Linked DNA regions of Caenorhabditis elegans. The protein of the gene in region 1 interacts with the protein of each later gene in a pairwise test. Each region holds a gene or a part of one and is shown on either strand. Other genes may lie near its edges.

The links. The genes of interacting proteins can lie anywhere in the genome.
Region 2: the proteins of apc-1 (region 1) and emb-8 interact in a two-hybrid assay, tested with the Caenorhabditis elegans proteins (one large-scale study listed by BioGRID).

The regions. Positions count from the first base shown.
Region 1 is NC_003280.10:11,106,509-11,110,264, reverse strand, and holds the start of apc-1 (Anaphase-promoting complex subunit 1), read right to left. Parts: upstream 2,105-3,756; 5' UTR 2,042-2,104; coding exon 1,988-2,041; intron 1,935-1,987; coding exon 1,605-1,934; intron 1,561-1,604; coding exon 1,131-1,560; intron 846-1,130; coding exon 699-845; intron 695-698; exon of another isoform or gene 653-694; coding exon of another isoform or gene 448-652; intron 394-447; coding exon of another isoform or gene 243-393; intron 1-242. Other genes in the region: glb-4 (GLOBIN domain-containing protein), read left to right, coding at 243-393, 448-652; nasp-1 (Protein NASP homolog 1), read right to left, coding at 2,323-2,415, 2,474-3,049, 3,099-3,465, 3,517-3,629. UniProt on the Caenorhabditis elegans protein: Probable component of the anaphase promoting complex/cyclosome (APC/C), a cell cycle-regulated E3 ubiquitin ligase that controls progression through mitosis and the G1 phase of the cell cycle.
Region 2 is NC_003281.10:5,198,028-5,201,783, forward strand, and holds the start of emb-8 (NADPH--cytochrome P450 reductase), read right to left. Parts: upstream 1,651-3,756; 5' UTR 1,634-1,650; coding exon 1,512-1,633; intron 1,454-1,511; coding exon 1,360-1,453; intron 1,307-1,359; coding exon 308-1,306; intron 261-307; coding exon 12-260; intron 1-11.

The sequences.
Region 1 (3,756 bases):
TCACCATCATCTAAACACCGCCCACCACCACCTCGTAGATCACTTAGATAGTTTTCTCGATATTCTTCAGTTGATTTTGTTCGCTTCTACACTTTCCTTCTCACCACGTATATATATATATATATATAACAATAAATACACTAACTTCTAGGTTTGCTGTGTGCCGTGTGCTTTTCGTTTTATAGTTTTTTTGTTGTTGGTTTCTGTTGGCTAAATTCATATTCTAATTTACTCAAATCTAGCTCCAATGTGTGCTCTTCTTGGCTCAACAGAGAGCAACTCGACGACTACAACAACTCAGCCATCATCTCCAATTACTCCATATCGACGAAGAAGTATGTTCCGCGCGGGTGGAGCTCTTCAAAGGAATAGCCAAGACTTCACAGCACTACGGTATGTAACAATTTGACGGACATCAGCTATAATTCTCACTTCACGTATTTTCAGAAACCGCCGTATGTCTTCTCCCAACAACCCGTCAATTCTTCTAAATAATTGCGACATTCAACTGCTCAAGTTGACGTCTCAATTGAGCCCCCTCGAAGATCAAGTCAAACAGAATCGAGTGCCAGGACGAGCGCATCAGCAACGGCGAAGCATAACACTTTTAAATTTTGATCATCATCATCGTGCACGATCGCCCACGACTTGAGGTTAATGGTGCTAATAAATTTTTATGAATTAAAAAAAAAAATTACCTTCAAAATTCGGTGTTGGAAGTGTTGCAGGGTAGCCTGGAGCGTTCGGGTTGTTTGGAGTAGAATGTCCAAAACCGGATCGCAGATGAGGAGTGAACGGTGAGCGGCTATCAATTTCCGAGCTGATCACTTCGGAGAGCACATTTTCTGGAAAATAATTATGATTTTTTGTTGAATATAAATTAACTCGGACTTCCACACTATATCATAATTGAAAATATTTATTTTTTAGTTTTTAATCACAACTCTTTCTAATTTAACATTTGATTTTTTTAGTAGTTTTTGGGGAAAATCGAATTATTTCCTGTTCGAAACGAGGTTTTTTTGGTTTTTAACTTAAATCACTGTAAATTAACTAAATATTGACGATTTGAATGTCTGATACAATACGAATAATATATTTATCCAAAAGCTCAAGTTTTCAAAAATTACCGGCGGGAGAGTTGAGTGTCGGATCAAAATGCGTAGTTCTGCCGGCAGAATTCGGCGCCAAACTCGACGCGAACATTGTTGAATCAGACGGTCTTCTGAGTGCTTCAACGTATCGAATCGCTGCGTGAACTTCCTGTTCTTGTGTCTCTCGTGCCATATAAATCCGATGCGTCTTCTCCTTCTGATCATAGACAACAACGTAATTTTGCTGAGCGTCAACGAGTCCAGCCTCGTCTCGATGCGATTGCCAACAGAATTTCCATTGTGGATGGTAGCCGCTTGTCTTGTAGATAACCGGGAGAAGCTCGCCGAATGGACCGGATAGCGAGTAGAGGTGAAATGTGTCGTGATGGTGGAAGGTTTGTTCGCTGGATGAATCGTAGAACCGTTCGACCAGAAGACTTGTCGAGCAGGAGAACACGTTGCGAAGCTGGAAATATTTGAAATTATCAGAATTTCAAACTAAATTCTCACCTTAAAAGGAATTTCATAGTGATAGAAATGATAGTCGGGAAGCGATATGAACTGGAGCTTATGCTCACCGCACACAACCAAATAATCCCGATGCTTCGTATCAGGTCCACCACAATTCTCAGTTGCCAACTTTTCAGCGTTTCGAGTCACAATGAACGAGTGGAAGAACACTTTTTTGATATCAAACTCCATTTTGAACCGTCGTTTAATCATCTTCCGTCGCGTCGTTCCATCACAAATGAGAATAATTGGACCCGATGTGAAGACAAAATCCGTGGTCTTCTCCTTGTTTCGAAACGCGCAGACCACTGTATCCTGGGTGAAGAAATCCTGAAAATTTAAGTTTACTTTTTTTAAATTGTTAATTATCTAAAAAAAATTACCTTTCCAATTTCATCTCCCAGCTGAATATCAAACTGTTTATTAGCAGAGATCATATTTTTCCAATGGCAATCATCAAATTCTTCACTCATACAAGTATAATTCGAATTTGAATGAAGCTGAAAATCCTGTTTTAAATAGTAAAATTATTTTGGAAGTATGAAAAAGATTTGAAACAAATTATAAAAACGAATATATGGCGAATATATATATACAGAACAAGTTTTACTTTAGAATCCTTAAATTCGGATAACAGATAAAATGTTAATTGATACATTATCAGTAGTTCAGTAGGTCAGATCATGATGAAATATTTAGAATTACAGGTTATCAATATTCAGATCGAAGTTGTTCCTTCCTCCTCCTTTTCTTTCTTCACTGCTTGATTGTCAGTTGGAGCATCCACTGCTCGTTTTGCTGGACGACGAACCTGGAAATTTGTTAATTGAATATTTAAAAAGTCTACGGGAAGTTAATTCAAACCGTACCAAGCTAGAAATATCATTTGCTTCCTTCTGATCACCGGCTTCTTGTGGAAGTTTTGCCAATACTTGTGTGAATCCTTCGAATTGCGCTTTAATGGCCTTCTTAGTTTCCTCAACTTGTGCTGCAGAGTGCACAGCATCAGCAATCATTTCTTCAACGCCTGGCATCATCTCTTCAAGCTCCTTCAGCTCATTCTCAAATTCAGACTTCTTTTCCTTATCATCAACACCTCTTTCCAGCTCATGCTTCAACTCAGTCTGCCTGGCGATGAGTACGTCCTTGGTTTTGCCGAAGTACTGAACGGTTTCATCGTAATTCGCATCGCTAGCACACGCGTTTCCGATGAGAATGTAGGTTTGGGCGATTTTTCTCGACGACGGTGGAAGAACATTGCGCTGAATGTTGAGGGCACGATCCAAGTCCTCAAAAGCCTGAGTATACTTTCCATCTGATATTCCGTGCTCGCCGAGGAGAACCAGTACATCAGCGAGTTTCAGGTTCCATTCCTCAATGGCACTGATTCCACTCTGCTCAGCTTCTAGAGCTTCGATTTTGGCAGCGGCAATACAACGAGCTGTCTGAAAATAATCACAATTAAGCATAAAATCATTGAATAAAATAAGAAACCTCAAGAATTTCCCATGATAATTTCATGGTATCATCATCATCGTCCTCTTCTTCACCGGATTCCTCTCCGTCCTCCTTCTCCGTTTCTCCATTCTCTTCGTCAGTCTTGTCATCAGAATTTCCAGCTTGCTCCTCATCTCCGCTTTCCTTCTCACCTGGACCTTTCAGAAGTTGGCTCTCCTCCTTCGCCAATTCCAGTGTGGCCATGCCATAATAGTAAAGAGAATCGAACGTGTTTTCATGGTTTTCTCCATAAATTTCGGAGCTCAGTTCAGTAGCCTCACTCAACGAATCCGATGCTTTGTCGATATCGTTAACTTTCAACGCACGGCGTCCAGCTGCAAGCAACTCGGCGAGACGCTTCTCTCTGGAATACGAAAAGTGATTTTATTGATGATATTCTGCAGCAAAAGTTTACTTCTGCTCGACAGTCTCTTCTTCTGTAGTAGTCCCGTTTCCTTTTTCATCTGAATCTCCTGAAGCATCCTTCACACGAATATCAGAGGCGTCGGCGATGTTTTCAGTGTCCATTTTCTGATTTGTTAATATCTGAAAATAAATACTATTCGATATATATTCAAAATTCAATAAAAAGCGGATAAATTCAAATGAGTATAATAGCGCGGGAGAGCCTAGAAACCGAGCGTTGCCTAGTCCA
Region 2 (3,756 bases), on another chromosome or scaffold:
AAAAAATTTACCTTGGTGGTCAAATATCTTGTACAAACTCCATTGATATCACGATCACCAATAGAATATTTAGTGACAACTGCACAAATTGCAATCTTTTCCTCATTTAATCTCGGAGATGAAGCAATACTGTAGTAACGGGCTTGAAGACGTGGAAGAAGTTCAAGAAGATACTCAATTGGTGGTTTACATGTCTTTTGATCAGTCAATACATCGACAATTGAACGACGCTCTTTGACAATGTATCTGGCGTACTCTTTCTGAAAAAAATTCAATTACTTCAAAATTAAAATTTAAAAAAACTCACCAAGCCCTCCTCATTGGCAGTTGATAACTTATTAAGGAATTCCTTTTCAGTATCATCCGTACAATATTCACTGATTGCTTTGAGCACATGAGATTTGACTGGAGCACAAATATCAACATAATGAGAAAGAGCAGTTCGGAATGTGGTTGGGCATGGGAATGGATGACGTTTTGATGCATCTTCATCAACGTTCACAAGACGGAATGCGTGATCAGGATCGAATTGAAGCATATTAATGAGACGATCAACAAGAACTGGATCATTTGTTGGGAAGACAGCCAGATGATCTCCTGCTTCATAACGAATACGGGATCCTTCAACAGAGAACTCAATATGTCTACAACTACGATCAGAATGTTCGGTATGAAGTTCATCATTGATCGCAACAGTAGCCAAATATGGATTTTTGACATCAAATGGTGGACGTGGACGTTCATAAGCTCCAAGTCGTCCAAATTCTCCCTTGAAAAGAGCTTTTCCTTCTTCAACTGGTTCCAATTGATATTGTCTCATTGTCTCGGCCTCTGTGTTCAACTCCCATCCAAATTCTTCAGCAACTTTTGGCAAGAAAGCTTCTCTCCAAATCATAAAATCTTCTTCAAGATTAGCATCATCATCTCCTAATCCCAAATGAAAGATTCTCTTGGCTCCAAGTTTTTCAAGTTGTTTGTCCATTTGAATTCCAATCTCATTAAAATGTTCATAAGTCTTATTTCCAAGTCCAAAAACTGCAAATCGAACACCCGACAGATCACAGTCTCCAGCATTCAAATATTCAACAAGTGTCACTGCATTATCAGTTGGATCTCCTTCTCCATATGTGGCAATGCATAGTACCAAAAGAGCATCCTCAACTTCACTCAAACGATTCAAATCTTCACATTCAATATCTTCTGGATCAACGACAACAGCCTTCTTGGTGTAACGAGTAAGATCTTTAGCAAGACGTCCAGACATTTCTTCAGCTGTTCCAGTTTGAGATCCGTACATGATAAGCACCTGAAATTAGAGAATTTTGATTCTATTTTCTTTAAAATTCCATATCAATTTACCTGTCGGTTCTCATTTTTCATTCGATCAATGAATGATTGATTCGATTTCGAAGCCGCAGCTGACGTGGTGACCGATGCTACGGTTGGCGAGTATCTGAAATTTTAATTTCAAATGTAAAAAAAATAATTTTCTGCATTTATTTTTAAAGTACCTGCTAGACGATGGTTGCTGATTGAAAACCTTCATGAAAAGGAATATAATTGCTCCACCAGCGAGCAGAGTGAGCACCACAAGGTCTGATGTGTCGAGACCCGACACAATCCACGCCAGCATGTTTAGAATGAGAGTTTCTGAAATTAAAGAATTATTTGAAAAGGAAGAGGGAGATATTGAAAAAGTAAATAAATAAGAAGTTATAGTTTAAACATGTTTTAAAATATTGCCGCTGAATTTTGCGATGTTTGCGCCGAGAAAATGACAAGTTTTTGTTAAATGCGCGTGCGCCTTTAAAAAGTACTGTAATTTCAAACTTTCGTTAATGTTGAATTTTAATTGATTTTCCATAGTTTTTTAAGTTTAATTTTATGTGATTTTTATTGTTTTCATGCATTTCTTTATTTTTTCAATAAATAAATAGTTTTTAAACAAAAATGTGTTTTTTTTCTGTTTTCAGGTGATTTCAGGTACTTAGAAAAATCCCGAATCAAACGAAAACAGAGGAAAACTCTGAAAAATTGATTGAAATGGCGCAGAAACGTTAGTTCGAAACTACAGTACACTTTGAAGGTGCACACCTTTTTGTATTTATCAAAAATTTGGCGTGTTGAGACTGGGTCCAGTGTTTTTGGCGCAAAAACCACAAGTTTGTCGCACTAAAATATATGTATTTTGAGAAATATCTGAATTTCTATCATATAACTGTAATAAATAATTTTTTACAAAAACAATTTCAACTAAAAACTTAATTTGAGATACGATTATCGTATAGCAAATTCAGTGAGTCTTTTTTCAAAAAAAAATGTACAGTCAATTTGTGTGAATGAATGGGAACATTAGACATATTGTTCTGTCTGTCCCCTTAATTTGGTCTTACAGTTAAAGAAAAAGAAGAAAAAACAAAAGCTACAGAAGAAAAATCGAATTAAGGGAGGGAGGTATATTGAAATAAACAAAGATACGCCGTGAGGAAAAGTTATTAGTGAAAAGAAAGTTGTATTTGCCAAGAAGGTGAGTATTTTATAGAAGCAGATAGTCAGAGAGTTTGCATCATTTTTTGAGGTTTGTGATCGACACACATAAAATATGATTTGGTGGTCGAAGAAAGATACTTCGAGAACACAAAATTTGTCAGACTTTGTATTGACACGTAGACTAGAGTACTGTTTAGCCAAAATTATCTTCTGAAAACAAAACTTCTAAAAACTATGTAATCTTAAAAAATTTCAGACATTTTGCAAGTACAGTAGGAAAATGCTTAAACAAAACTAAAACAAGGAGTCAGGAAAAATTGAAACAAAAAAAAACTGCGGCACAATATCTGATATAACCCAAGTAATTTTACGGCACAAATACAGTACCCAAGGTCTCGACACGACGAATGTTTGTTAAATATGAAAACACGTGCGCCGTTAAGGAGTACTGTAATTTCAAATTTTAGTTGTTGTTGAATTTTCATAATTTTCATCTCGCTATGTTGAAATTTGAGTTTTTAAAATAAATATATCTATTTTTTATCGAAAAACTTCGAAAAATTGTGGGAAATTCCGCAACAATGAAAATTTGAAGATACAGTACTCTTTCAAGGAGCACGACTTTCTACATTTTACAAAATTTGTTGTGTCGAGACCGGGAGCAATATTTCTGAAAATTAAATATTACTTGGTCACAAAAGAGAGTCAACTTTTGTAATAGAAATAAAATAAAATTGGTTATTTCCACTATTACAAGACTTTCAGAAATAATTAGTCGCCAAACGATTGTTTCAGTCAAAAATAATTTCCTAATTTGAATTAAACGTCAATTCAAGTCATGCGATGAAATAAATGACTGGTGAATAACTGTTGAAATTCAAAGATTGTCTGGTTAGGTTTAATCATTGATAAGAATTGAATTGAGAATTAGAGAAGAAAAGAAATTGCGAATTTTGTTTTTAAGTTGATAAGTCAAATAGATATGGACTGATTACACCGTCAAGCATTTTCTGTAGTTTATGTCACTTTTATCACATTTTGACAAAATTGGATGTTGTGTACGAAAACCACACGCAAAGTACGGTTTTATCAAACGAAAATGCGTTTTCTACAAAATTTGAAGTTCAAATGGAAAATCATAATTGTTTGCACGTAGTTTTCAATCAAAATATATCGTCACACTTGAGTTAAAAATTGAATTAGGCCCGATACAATGAACGGTCAGTCATCGAAGTCGACGTACATAGGGGCGCAGACAACACACAC